4 linked regions of the Macaca fascicularis genome follow. The protein of the gene in region 4 purifies or fractionates together with the protein of the main gene of each other region. This does not show direct contact. Links are inferred from orthologs where the notes say so. Each region holds a gene or a part of one and is shown on either strand. Other genes may lie near its edges. The genes, in order: BCL7C, DPF2, SS18 and SMARCC1.

Region 1 (3,407 bases), on a different chromosome or scaffold from region 4:
GTGCTTAGAGGTAATTCCTGAGGAATTGACTAACGAGGAGCTGTTGGAACTGGAACAGGAACACATAGCTGAAGAAGAGGCAAGAGAAAAAAAAAACTGCAGGAGAAGAAAAACCCAGAAGAAAATTCACAGTGAAGGGTTTAGCAGAAGCTGCTGCAGACCTCAACAAACTCCTTAAAACGTTGAAAACATGGACCCCCACACTGAATGGTTTTCATTAATAGAGAGATATGCTTGTGGTGCATTATCTGTTTACAAGCAAATGTATGATTAAAATAAAAGAAAGAAACCAAGCAAACCACTATGGACATTTTTTGAAAGAGTGATAGTCCCTCAAGAAGAGCCTCAGGCAGGTCCTACAGGAGGAATTCCAGAAGAATGTGTTATCATAGGAGATAACAGCTCCATGCGTGTTACTGCCTCTGAAGACCTTCCAGAGGGGCATGATGTGGAGGTGGAAGACAGTGATCTCGATGATCTTGACCTAGTGTAGGCCTAGGCTGATGTGTGTGTGTGTGTATATGTGTCTTAGTTATTAACAAAAAAGTTTAAAATATTGAAAAATATACTTTTTAAAATAGAAAAAGTTGGCCAGGCGTGGTGGCTCACGCCTGTAATCCCAGCACTTTGGGAGGCCGAGACGGGTGGATCACCTGAGGTCAGGAGTTTGAGACCAGCCTGACCAACATGGAGAAACCCCATCTCTACTAAAAAAAATACAAAATTAGCCAGGCGTGGTGGCGCACGCCTGTAATCCCAGTTACTCGGGAGGCAGAGACAGGAGAATCGCTTGAACACAGGAGGCGGAGGTTGCGGTGAGCCGAGATCATGCCATTGCTCTCCAGCCTGGGCAACAAGAGCAAGACTCCGTCTCAAAAAATAAATAAATTAAATAAAATAGAAAAAGCTTCTAGAATAAGGATATAAAGAAGGGAAATATTTTTGTACAGCTGTACAATGTGTACTTTAAGTGTAATAACATTTATTAATAAGTTTATTGACAAAAGAGTCAGTAAGTTTAAAAAATTAAAAAGTTTGGGTGTGTGAGGTGGCTCACACCTGTAATTTCAGCACTTTGGGAAGCTGAGGCGGGTGAATCACCTGAGGTCAGGAGTTCGAGACCAGCCTGACTAATATGGTGAAACCCCGTCTCTACTAAAAATACAAAAATTAGCCAGCCGTGTTGGCATGCGCCTGTAATCCCAGCTACTTGGGAGGCTGAGGCAGGAGAATCGCTTGAACCCGGGAGGCGGAGGTTGCCATGAGTCGAGATCACGACACTGCACTCCAGGCTGAGCGACAAAGCGGGACTCCATCTCACCAAAAAAAAAAAAAAAAAAATGTATAAAGTTACTAGGTGAGTGCAAAAGTAATTGTTGGAATTTGCCATTTGATTTTGGAATACATTCTTAAATAAATGTGGTTATGTTATACATCATTTTAATGGGCATTTCTCACTTTATTTTTTTAATGACTTATTACTGCTGTTTATTTTACATTTATTTTAGACTATGGAAATGATGTTAGACAAAAAGCAAATTCAAGCAATTTTCTTATTCAAGTTAAAAATGGGTCATAAAGCAACAGAGATACATCGCAACATCAACAACACATTTGGCCCAGGAACTGCTAACAAACATACAGTACAGTGGTGGTTCAAGCAGTTTTGCAAAGAAGATGAGAGCCTTGAAGATGAGGAACATAACATCCGGCCATCGGAAATTGACAATGACCAACTGAAAGCAATCATTGAAGCTGATCCTCTTAAAACTACACGGGAAGTTGCCCAAGAACTCAACCATCGACCATTCTATGGCCATTTGGCGTTTGAAGCAAATTGGAAAGGTGAAAAAGCTCAATAAGTGGGTGCCTCATGACCTTACCAAATATTTTTTAAAAAGTCATTTTGAAGTGTCTTCTTCTCTTATTCTATGCAACAACAATGAACCATTTCTTGATCAGATTGTGACGTGCGACAAAAAGTCGATTTTATATGACAACCGGCAACAACCAGCTCTATGAGTGTACTGAGAAGTAGCTCTAAAGCACTTCCCAAAGCCAACCTTGCACCAAAAAAAGGTCACAGTAACTGTTTGGTGGTCTGCTGCTGGTCTGATCCACTGCAGCTTTCTGAATCCCAGTGAAACCATTACATCTGAGAAGTATGCTCAGCAAATGGATGAGATGCACGGAAAACTGCAAGGCCTGCTGTGGCATTGCTCACCAGAAAGGGCCCAGTTATTCTCCATGACAGCAACCACACATCGCATAACCAACGCTTCAAAAGTTGAGGTTGGGTACGGTGGCTCACGCCTGTAATCCCAACATTTTGGGAGGCCAAGGTGGACAGATCACTTGAGGTCAGGAGTTCGAGAACAGCCTGGCCAACATGGTGAAACCCGTCTCTACTAAAAATACAAAAATTAACTGGGTATGATAGCTGGCGCATGTAATCCCAGCTACTCGAGAGGCTGAGGCAAGAGAACTGCTTAAACCCAGAAGGTGGAGGTTGTGGTGGCTCATGCCACTGCACTCCAGCCTGGGTGACAGAGCGAGACTCTGTCTCAAAAAAAAAAAAAAAAAAAAAAAAAGTTGAACAAATGGAGCTATGAAGTTTTGCTTCATCCACCATATTCACCTGACCTCTTGCCTACTGACTACCACTTCTTCACGCATCCCAACGGTTTTTTGCAAGGAAAACGCTTCCACACCCAGCACGATGCAGAAAATGCTTTCCAAGAGTTTTCTGAATCCCAAAGCACAGATTATTACGATACAGGAATAAACAAACTTATTTCTCACTGGAAAAAATGTGTTGATTGTAAAAATGTGTTGATTGGAATGGTTGATTGTAATGGTATGAATTTTGATTAATAAAGATGTGTTTGAGCCTAGTTATAATGATTTAAAATTCATGGTCCGAAACCGCAATTACATTTGCACCAAGAGTTGCAGTTAGCTAAAATTAATTTATTACTGCAGAAAAAATCTTCTTTGTAAATTTAATGTAGCCTATATATACAGCATTCATAAAGCCTACAATGGTGTACCATAATGTTCTAGGACTTCACATTCGCTCCCTACTGACTTACTAACTCATCTAGGGCCACTTCCAGTCCTGCAGGCTCCATTCTGGTAAGTGCCCTAGGTACTTACCATGGCATACCGTGGTATACCAGCGTGGCATGCCATTTTATCTTTTACGCTGTATTTTTACTGTACCTTTTCTGTGTTTAAATACACAAATACTTACCATCGTGTTACAAAATTATATATGTCACCTATAGTATTCAGGACAGTAACATGCTGTACAGATCTGTAGCCTAGGAGCAATAGTCTATATGATACAGTCTAGATTTGTAGTAGCAGGTTATACCATCTAGGTTTGTGTGACTACACTCCATGAT
Region 2 (3,569 bases), on a different chromosome or scaffold from region 4:
CAGGCCCAGTACTAGATCCCAAATATACTCAAGTGAATATGATGTGATTCTTTCCTTTAAAGAGCTTAGTCTAGAAGGGGAGACAGGTAAACAGATAAGTTATGGTGCCAAGTGAACTAGGGTGTCTTAATTCCTGGGCATCCGGGGAACAAAAGACAGTGACAGACCTTTGGTAAGCCCTAGCATTATGTGGACTCAGAGCAGTCTGCTTTCAGCCATTCTGAGCTTTGCTTCATCCTGATCTTGCTTGCAGACACAGACCAAACCCTGAAGAAGGAGGGGCTGATCTCTCAGGATGGCAGTAGTTTAGAGGCTCTGTTGCGCACTGACCCCCTGGAGAAGCGAGGCGCCCCGGATCCCCGAGTTGATGATGACAGCCTGGGCGAGTTTCCTGTGACCAACAGTCGAGCGCGAAAGGTACAAGATTATCCCTGTGGCTAAGGGAGCTTTGATGGAAATCAGCCTCCTCTTCACTGGGGCCATGCAGTTTCTAGAACTGAAACAGAAGCTGGGGTCCAGGAAGCAGGCCCCTGCAGTTCTGTTCTTACTTCAATCCCTGGTTATTGTCAGGTACTGACTGGCTTCTCTTTTGCTTCTAAGTATAGACTCTCACTCATTCATCCACTTTTATCACAGAACGTTATTATTATACACATATATAATTTTCATTTAAAAAATTAAAAGAGGCCAGGTGCAGTGGCTCATGCCTATAATCCCAGCACCTTGGGAGGCCAAGGCAGGAGGATTGCTTGAGCCCAAGAGCTCGAGACCAGCCTGGGCAACAAAGTGAGACCCCATATCTACAAAAAGTAATAATAAAAAAAATTACCCGGGCATAGCGGCATGTGCCTGTTGTCCCAGCTACTAGGGAAGCTGAGGTGGGAGAATTGCTTGAGCCTGGGAGTTGGAGGCTTCAGTAAGCCGGGATCATGCCACTGCACTCCAGCCTGGGCAACAAAAAAAAATTAAAACCAGAAGGTACAAGAATAGTACAAAGAAATACCGTATACTCTTTACCTAGATTTATCAGTTTCACATTTTGCCACATTTGCCTTATCTGTCTTTGCTAAACCGTTTGAGAGGAAGATGCATATATCAAAAACTTTTCAGTCTAGGCAACATAGCAGGACCTTGTCTCTACTAAAAATAAAAATAAAAAATTAGCTGGGCATGGTGGCACACACCTGCAGTCCCAGCTACTCAGGAGGCTGAGGTGGGAGGATTGCTTGAGCCCAGGAGATTGAGGCTGTAGCTCTGCTCATGCCACTGCACTCCAGCCTGAGTAACAGAGGGAGACCCTGTCTGGGGAGGGAGGGAAACAAACTTTTATCCCTAAATACTTTACTCTTTTATCACAAAAGTTTGTGTCACAAAGTTTTTTGGTCCCTGAGGTTGCACAGTGAAACACACTTGGTCTCTGCCAACAGAGAAGATAAGACTATATATAAAAATAAGAGCTATAAATATGCCAGCATTGGGCTAAGTGCTTTCTCATGCCCTTTCTCCTTTAGTCTGTACAACCTTATGGGGGAGGTCCTGTGTTCCCCATTTCACAGACAAGCTGAAACAAAGCAGTTTAAAAACTTCCCATGGGCTGGGCACGGTGGCTTACGCCTGTAATCCCTTTGGGAGGCCAAGGCAGGCAGATCATGAGGTCAGGAGATCAAGACCATCCTGGCTAACATGGTGAAACCCCGTCTCTACTAAAGATACAAAAAAATTAGCCAGGTGTGGTGGTGGGCACCTGCAGTCCCAGCTACTCAGGCATGAACCCGGGAGGTAGTGCTTGCAGTGAGCTGAGATCGCACCACTGCACTCCAGCCTGGGCGACAGAATGAGACTCCGTCTCAAAAAAAAACTTCCCATGGCCAGCCACGGTGGCTCACGCCTGTAATCCCAGCACTTTGAGAGGCCGAAGTAGGTGGATCATCTGAGGTTGGGAATTCAAAACCAGCCTGACCAACATGGAGAAACCCCGTTTCTACTAAAAATATAGTATTAACCGGGCATGCTGGCGCATGCCTGTAATCCCAGCTACTTGGGAGGCTGAGGCAGGAGGATCACTTGAACGCAGGAGACGGAGGGTGCAGTAAGCCAGTATTGCGCCATTGTACTCCAGCCTGGGCAACAAGAGTGAAACTCCGTCTCAAAAAAAAAAAAAACTTCCCACAAAGTCACACACATAAGCAACAACATTTTCATTTAAACTAGGAGGCGAGTGTCAGGACAGAACCACCAGTAATGTGCTCCCAGGGTGGCCAATCAGAGGCAGGAGAGGGCATGGCTGCTTGTGGCATCGGGGCAACCTTTTGGAAGCATGCTATTTGATTTGGCCATGTGGCATGGTAGGGAAAGCATTTCAGGCTAAGGAAATAATGTGAAGCACAGGGGAAAGAAATCCCAAAGTATGGAAGGGAGCAGGAGCAGGATTGTAGGGTGCTTGAAGGGCGTTGGTGAGAAATGAGGCTCATTCCCCTGTGGGTGGGACCAGGTCACAGAGGAGGTTCTGGGTGGCCTTGGCCAATCTCATCATAGGGGAGCTTTTGGATGCACATATTTCTACCCATGCTAACCCTGCTGTCCACTCAGCGGATCCTAGAACCAGATGACTTCCTGGATGACCTCGATGATGAAGACTATGAAGAAGATACTCCCAAGCGTCGGGGAAAGGGGAAATCCAAGGTGAGGGGCCAGCGTGCTACCTGCATCTTGGGACAGGGTGGCCTAGGGAATTCCTTGTTTTATTTCAAGTGAGATTAGCAGCCACTTCCCAAAGAGTCTAACTCCTCAGGCCCAGCTACCGCAATAAGGGTGTCTCTTTGCTCTTCTTGGCAGGGTAAGGGTGTGGGCAGTGCCCGTAAGAAGCTGGATGCTTCCATCCTGGAGGACCGGGATAAACCGTATGCCTGTGACAGTGAGTGCCTCACAAGTGGGTGGGTAGACCTTGCCTTGGACCCAGCTCCTGCTCAGGCTATGAGAGGAGGGAGGGTTATGTTTTTGCCCAGAGTATTAAAACAAACCTGGGTTCTTGTCCTGCCTGCTGACTGCTTCCGTCTGAGACCCCTGGGAGGCCTGGGGCCCTGCTATATGACGGGTGGGACCTGCATGCTCTGGGAAAGATTTCTGCCATCTTCTGGGGTGGGGTTGCTTGTGGGGGCCACAGCAGGCAGGGTTGGCCTCTCAAGAGACAGCCTGCAGGTCTCCTGGCCTCAGTTAAGCCAGGGCCCCAGGGGTCTGACACTGAGTTTTTCAACGTCTGTTCTCTTTTTCTTTCTCTCTGCCTTGCCCCGCTTCTGTCCCTCCACCCTGGGAGCACCATCGCCGCTGGGGTTTCTCTCTCGTTTGCTCCGCTTTCCTGCTGATGCTGCTCCTGTCTCAAGTGTATCAAGGCCTTCTTCTCATGACTTTTCTTTCTGTCTTTCAGATAGTTTCAAACAAAAGCATACCTCGAAAGCGCCCCAGAGAGGTAGCTCTCTCAACTTTTCAGACTTGTGGTTTTCCTGTCCCTTTTTCCCTCTTCCCTTGTTCCTCCTGCCTTTCTCATTTCCTGGGATGCTAGCTTTAAAATC
Region 3 (3,569 bases), on a different chromosome or scaffold from region 4:
AAAAACTATGAAAAGGGTGGGGAAAAAGAGTGATGCAATGGAGGGTGCTACTGTGTTAGGTGGTCAGTGAAGGACTCTCTGAGATGATATGGTGACATTTAAGCAGAGATTTTAATAAAGTGAGGTTGGAGGCACTGCAGGCATTCAGGCAGAAGAGGGGGTAGCAAATACAAAGGTTCTCAGGTAGAAACTCACTTGATGCATATAAGAAACAGCAAATAGGCCAGTGTGACTGAAGCAGAGTGAATTAGGGCAGCAAGTAGTTGGGACATAAATAGGCAGGCACGAGGAGGGTAGCATAGGAGGTAGGAACACAAGTCCTATACGGCCTTGTAGGCCAGTATATCATATGGCTTTTACTTAAAACATCACAGGGTTGTAAGCACAGAGTTGACTAATGTCTTTAAAACATTACTCTGGGCTCCATGTGCAGAGTATCTTGTAGAGGAGGCAGGATAAAATCAAGAAAACCAAAAAGAAGGATATATTGCAACAGTCCAGATGAGTGCTAGTTGTGACTTTCAGTTGGGTGAAAGGAGACTGTGAAAAATGGCTAGATATTGGATATATTTTGAAGGAAGAGGTGAGGAGATTTGCTAATTGACTAGATGTTTGCTTTGCAAAGAGGGGCATCAAAGAGGACTGTAGGTTTTTAACCTGAGGAACAGGAAGAATGGAGCCACTGTTTATTGGGATAGGGAGGACCGATGGGGAAGTATCGTAGCAATTTCCACCCTTTTAATTTCTCCCCTTTTATCTTGCATATTGCTATAAGAGTAATCTGCCTAAACTACAATTATAATTATGTTAGTATTGGGTTTCAGAATCTTCATTAGCTTCATTGGCTCTTCCTTGGTACTTCACACTTAAATATAATATTTCCCAAGGAATATTTCTCAAGATCTGAGTTAGAAGCTCCTTCCACATAAATCTTAGCTTCTCTTATCTAAGTATTTATCACACTATATCATATCATATGTTTACCTGCCTGTAGCCATCTAGACTTAAGTTCATAAAGGCTGAGTCCATGTCTATCTTATTTCCCAATATGTTCCCAATCTTCACATGGCACTTGGCATACAATGGTTGCTCAATAAACATTTGCTTAATGAACGGCTTTAAGTTTAGGAGATTTGGAAATACATTGACTTAGAAAGGAAAATGGTGAGTTTAGTCTACAACATGCTAAAGCTGAGGGAATCCAAAGACAAGAGATGTTCTGTACATTTGGATAAAAAGGAGCTGAAACTGGGTTGAGAGGTAAGAGCTAATACTGAAAATAGAGGGCAGGATGATTCAGAGGCTAGAAAAAAAAAACAGAGTCAAGAACTGGTATTAGGGTAAAAAAAAAAAAAAAAGGAAAACCAATAAAAAAAAAAAAGAATGAACCAATGTAAACGCAAGAGGAACAAAATGGTTCAGAAATATAGAAGCTAAAGAAGACCATTTAAAAATGAAAAAGGAAAATGTGCCAATAGCTAAAGTGAGGTCAAGGAAGACCAAGATAGCTGACTATTTTACCTCTGCAGGACCTACTACAGTATCAAACACGTGGAGAATAAATTTTTGTTGAATGACGGAATACATGATCAGAATCTCACTTTTTAAAAAGTTCAGCTGTAGATTAGAATAAGCCTAAATTTGTTCTGCTCAGGAATCCTGCCTTTAAATACTCACTAGCCACAACTTATTTCACTTCTAAAACTTAATAAAACCTCCAACTGATCCTTATGTTTTGTTCGAGTATATTTTGGAAAAATATTACTTATCTATTCTTGCTTTTTGTATCTCCCTTGTCTTAAATAAGAAGTGCCAATACAAGAGGGTTGCAGGCGTGAGAGAGGGTTGATAAACGAACTGCTCACGCCTCAAATTCTAGTTACCACTGCATCTGAGTTTTTCCTCAAACCAGATACCCACGTTGGCCCTGAAAGCCTAAACTGCATATTAAAGACAGTTCCATGTTAAAAAATAACCTATTTTAGATAGTTTAAGTGGTGAACAAACCAGACCACCTTCACTGAAAAGCACAAACCTGAAACCAGCCTAAAGGAATTGCCATAATAAATCATTTCCATAATAATTCAGAGAATATATAAGTACATTCATAAAACAATGACTGTGGTACAAGTCTGAGGAGTTTAATGACAAAAAGAAGAAACTTAAATGAACACTGGGTTCAAGGGAATCAGTCATCATAGGATGAGATACACTTCTAAATATCTGAAAGTAGAATGACAAGTAGAGGAGAAATAACAGTTGAAACAATAGTTATGTGTGTGGAAGGAGGCAACAGAGGGCGGAAAGTTTGAATTTAAAGAGATGGGATATTACGGGTGTGAAGGAAGTGTAGTGGATATGCTGGAGTGAAGTGGAGTGCTAATGAAAGCATCAACACAGATGGACTCCACATCTCAGTAGCTCAAGGCAAAGTCTCAGCAATAAACATCAGGGAGGATCATAGAAATCACTAAGGTTACCAGAGGTTGGGAAGAAAAGGGATGAGAAGGGATCAAGGAGTGGGAAATAAATGAATTAACACTGAACTGTATGTACACTCAAAAATGGTAAATATGATAAACTCTGTATATATATTTTACCTCAGTAAACAAAGTATGCCTGAGGGTAAAGACCAGAGAGACAGAGAGAGAGAGAGAAGATATATGTAGTTGTCTTATGTTACGGCCATGTTTTATATGACAGAGTAACTATGATCAACTGTGTTATTAAATAGTATGAGACTCAAAAGTGACATACTTTTTAACAAATGTACCATAAACATTCCCTCATGAGGGAAACATGAGGCTTCAAGTTAAATTTAAAAAAAAAAACTTGGCCGGGCACGGTGGCTCACGTCTGTAATCCCAGCACTTTGGGAGGCTGAGGCGGGCGGATCATGAGGTCAGGAGCTCGAGACCATCCTGGCTAACATGGTGAAACCCCGTCTCTACTGAAAAGACAAAAAATTAGCCAGGCTTGGTGGTGTGCGCCTGTAGTCCCAGCTACTCGGAAGGCTGAGGCAGGAGAATGGCGTGAACCCGGGAGGCGGAGCTTGCAGTGAGCCGAGATTGTGCCACTGCACTCCAGCCTGGGCGACAGAGCGAGACTCTGTCTCAAAAAAAAAAAAAAAAAAAAAAAAAAGTTCACCTAATCAAGAGTGAACAAACAATGTGGCAATTCTGTAGCCGTTCAAACTACTTACCTGGTCGTATCCATAAGGCCTCTGCTGGGGTGGCTGTGGTGGTCCAGGCTGTGTTGGTCTATATCCTCCATACTGCTGACCTTGTCCCTGTGGGTAGTTAGGATACTGAGGACCTGGACCACCCTGTGAAGGACCTGCAAATAATTAACACAACAAAAACCCACATAACAAGTTAAGTCCCTGGAACTCAGGGAAGGATTTGAACTGGAGAGATGTTACAATATTTTTCTATCTAAACTTAAAAAAGATAGTTTGGTACCTTGATTTCCTCAAATGCTTTCTGAAATAAATCTGGATGGTAACAATAAGAGTAAAAATACTGTAATGCTACTTCACTGTAATTATTGTACTATGCCCTAGCCATTAC
Region 4 (3,569 bases):
TCAAATAATTTCAAGTATACTTTTCAGTTCTAAAATATTCATGATTCTTTTTACAGATTCCAATTCTCTCTTCAAATTCTCCATTTTCCCATCGAATTTCTCTAATAGTGTTATTTTTAAAATACCTATCTACTAAGTCATATGGGAATATAAAAGGTAAGATAAATCATAATTGTTTTTAAAAATACCATCAGATTTGAGTAGAAAGCTCATCAGATGTATCTTAGAAGGACTAAGATGTGCTGGATTGTAGCCTACATGTGATTAGAAAAAAAATCCTTACCTTTGCTAATGTTTTCTTGGAGTAAATATCAGTACGTAGACCAAAGTTCTGCAAATCAATTGGTTTTTCCTTGTTTTTCTCAGGAAAATTTAGCATCTGTTGAGCAGCAGGAACCTGAGTCAAATAAATGATAAACGGCTGAGTTAGCCTCTTTAAAGTCAAGAGGGTAAACGTTTTTTAAAATTTGTTTAGGCCGGGCGCGGTGGCTCATGCCTGTAATCCCAGCACTTCGGGAGGCCGAGGCGGGCGGATCACAAGGTTAGGAGCTCAAGACCAGCCTGACCAAAATGGTGAAACCCCATCTCTACTAAAAATACAAAAATTAGCTGGGCGTTGTGGCATGTGACTATAATCCCAGCTACTCAGGAGACTGAGGCAGTAGAATTGCTTATAACCCGGAGGCGGAAATTGCAGTGAGCCAAGATCATGCCACTACACTCCAGCCTGGGGAGCAGAGACAGACTCTGTCTCCAAAAAAAAAAAAAAAAAAAAGGTTAATATTGGAACTTAAGCCACTCTTGGTGGATTTCCTACGAAAAACAATAAATACCCACACTTCTACACTATACTTCTAACAAAAATTCAACATACAAGTTACATTTTGGTGTCCCTTAAGTCCAGAAAGGATAACAAATTTTCATTACTATATTCTATTTCACAATGGAACAAAATTTATACCTTAGGTTCCTGTGAATCCAACTTAATGCTATACAGAATTTGTCTGACATAATCTGTTTGATAATGTATATATGGATGTCCACTTTACAAATCTTAGGACAAGTTATAAAGATTTCTTTGCTTCACGTTTCTAGAACACAGACTGAAGGAAGGGAAAGAAGATTTTGCATCATCTGCTTACTTATGTGTGTCTTTTTGATGACAGAAGGATAAAGGGAGTTATGCATATAAAAGTAAATTAATAATTTGATAGACTAAGGCATTGGGTTTTGGGATTGGTGGGACAGCATTAACTTAAACACTATATATTCTTTTGGACTGTAATATTTACAGTACACCAAAACACACATACAAACAAGCATCAAAGAAACAGCACTAACAACAGCATTCCTAAATAGATATGCTATAAACAGACATTTGTTACTATTCAGGTCTGATGAAAAGTCAACATTAATTTACCTGAGGTGATCGAAGATGCAGAGGCACAAGCCCAGAGGGAGTATCAGCTAATACATTAAAATGAGGAGTAGGAGGAGGTCCCATTGCCATAGGTCTACTTTCCGGGTCAACTTGGTAATTAACGAGTCCCCACTGCTCTAAAAAGGCATGGACCCTAAAGAATAAAGCTCGGAAAGTTAAAATCTAAAGAATCAATTTCATGTGCTTTATTATCATCATTACACCATTAAAAAACAGAAACAATAAAACAAGTAAATGTGCTCAGCAGGCTATCAAACACCACAAATTACTTGACAGATTTTGTTTGTTATGTAGGGAACAATTTCTACAAGCCACAAATAATGTTGATAACACAGCACCCCCCAAACCTATTACAAAGTTTAATCATTTAAATCACAGAAATGAGAGCACAAATACGCATTTAGGTCCATGGTAATAAAAGAACCCACACACAGACCAAATACACACATAGAAAAAATCCACATTTTTCTTGACAGAGTCTCGCTCTGTCTCTCAGGCTGGAGTGCAATGGTGCAATCTCAGCTCACTGCAACCTACTCAGCCTCCTCGGTTCAAGCGATTCTCCTGCCTCAGCCTCCCAAGTAGCTGAGAGTACAGGTGCCCGTCACCATGCCCAGCTAATGTTTGGTATTTTTAGTAGAAACAGGCTTTCACCATGTTGGCCAGGCTGGTCTCGAACTCCTGACCTCAGGTGATCCACCCACCTCGGCCTCCCAAAGTGCTGGGATTACAGGTGTGAGCCACTGTACCTGGCGGGTTTTTTTTTTGTTTTTTTTTTGGCAGAGCTAGGGCGCAGAGTTTATCCACTCCCAACCTGAATCTACTCCTTCCCTGGTTATTTTATGATTTGACTAAAAAAATTAAAATGTGAACTGTAAAATCTAGAAAACTAAATATTTATCTTACTTATTTTATTTTTTTGAGACACAATCTCGCTCTGTCGCCCAGGCTGGAATGCAGTGGGACAATCTCAGCTCACTGCAATCTCTGCCTCCTGAATTCTCCTGCCTCAGCCTCCCCAATAGCTAAGATTACAGTCATGTGCCACCACGCTCGGCTAATTTTTATATTTTTAGTAGAGAAGGGGTTTCACCATGTTGGCCAGGCTCGAACTCCTGACCTCAGGTGATCCGCCCACCTTGGCTTCTCCAAGTGCTGGGAATATAGGCGTAAGCCACTGCACCCAGCCTAAATTAAATATTTTAAATTTTCAACCTCTAATGCTGAACACAGTGCTCACGCCTGCAATCACAATACTTCAGGAGACCGAGGCAGGAGAATTGCTTGAGGCCAGGAGATTGAGACCAGCCTTGGCAACATTATGAAATCCCATCTCGACAATAAAATTAAATTAATAAAATAAAATAAAAATAAAATAAATTGAATGAAATGAAAGGAAACAAAATATAATCCACCCCTAAATGACACAACTAAAATTAGGTGTTTTACCCAGTTGAAACAACCAGTTTAATATGACAGCAAAGCATAAGTAAATTCCTACAGTTAAATGTCTCAGAAAAAGTCAAACATTTTACCTCATCACAGCACACACATCTCCAGTCAAGTTCCTCCGACAAGCAGTGCTAGTTAAATACTCTTGGGGGTTTAGGCGATACGTGTCAATCATAAAATTTCGATATGCCAAGTATCTAAAAAGCAATGGCAAAATTCATAAGGTGGACACGTATCCTTTCAGAAACAATGTTACTCAGAAACTCAAAAATCTTCAGATTCCTTAGAAATACAATAAATTAAAACAAGAGCATAAAAAAACGGTGATATTATATTGCATATTAAGTTATGAGTGAATTTAGAACCACAAATATGCAAAACAACTGTTTACTAATGTATAATAACAAGTAATGTAACGACATTCATGTGAAGTAACATAAATTCAAACTTGGTCATGGTGGTAGTTAACTGCAGAATTTGAAACTAACACATGGTTACATAGGCTATCTGCCTCACTACCACATATCTATACTTTACTGTGTGCAGGGCACTGTTATAAGCAATGTATGTCTGACAACTGAATCCTCATAATCGCTCCATATTGCAGGTAGGGTCTGCTATCATCCCATCTATGGGTGAGGAAACAAACACTGAGTTGTTAGAGAATTTGTCCTAG

What was found.
Region 1: the proteins of SMARCC1 (region 4) and BCL7C purify together in Homo sapiens (affinity purification with mass spectrometry; 4 studies listed by BioGRID and IntAct, counting the BioPlex papers as one, with this or other methods). This does not show direct contact. The link is inferred for Macaca fascicularis from reciprocal best matches to the Homo sapiens genes SMARCC1 and BCL7C.
Region 2: the proteins of SMARCC1 (region 4) and DPF2 purify together in Homo sapiens (affinity purification with mass spectrometry; 9 studies listed by BioGRID and IntAct, counting the BioPlex papers as one, with this or other methods). This does not show direct contact. The link is inferred for Macaca fascicularis from reciprocal best matches to the Homo sapiens genes SMARCC1 and DPF2.
Region 3: the proteins of SMARCC1 (region 4) and SS18 purify together in Homo sapiens (affinity purification with mass spectrometry; 4 studies listed by BioGRID and IntAct, counting the BioPlex papers as one, with this or other methods). This does not show direct contact. The link is inferred for Macaca fascicularis from reciprocal best matches to the Homo sapiens genes SMARCC1 and SS18.

What each region holds. Positions count from the first base shown.
Region 1 is NC_088394.1:29,026,389-29,029,795, reverse strand, and holds the end of BCL7C (B-cell CLL/lymphoma 7 protein family member C), read left to right. Parts: intron 1-1,508; coding exon 1,509-1,862; 3' UTR 1,863-2,892; downstream 2,893-3,407. UniProt on the Homo sapiens protein: May play an anti-apoptotic role.
Region 2 is NC_088388.1:9,032,640-9,036,208, reverse strand, and holds part of DPF2 (zinc finger protein ubi-d4), read left to right. Parts: intron 1-253; coding exon 254-417; intron 418-2,589; coding exon 2,590-2,682; intron 2,683-2,835; coding exon 2,836-2,914; intron 2,915-3,424; coding exon 3,425-3,466; intron 3,467-3,569. UniProt on the Homo sapiens protein: Plays an active role in transcriptional regulation by binding modified histones H3 and H4. Is a negative regulator of myeloid differentiation of hematopoietic progenitor cells. Might also have a role in the development and maturation of lymphoid cells.
Region 3 is NC_088392.1:63,745,356-63,748,924, reverse strand, and holds part of SS18 (protein SSXT), read right to left. Parts: intron 3,337-3,569; coding exon 3,203-3,336; intron 1-3,202. UniProt on the Homo sapiens protein: Appears to function synergistically with RBM14 as a transcriptional coactivator. Isoform 1 and isoform 2 function in nuclear receptor coactivation. Isoform 1 and isoform 2 function in general transcriptional coactivation.
Region 4 is NC_088376.1:110,605,727-110,609,295, forward strand, and holds part of SMARCC1 (SWI/SNF complex subunit SMARCC1), read right to left. Parts: intron 3,091-3,569; coding exon 2,977-3,090; intron 1,575-2,976; coding exon 1,421-1,574; intron 398-1,420; coding exon 284-397; intron 1-283. UniProt on the Homo sapiens protein: Involved in transcriptional activation and repression of select genes by chromatin remodeling (alteration of DNA-nucleosome topology).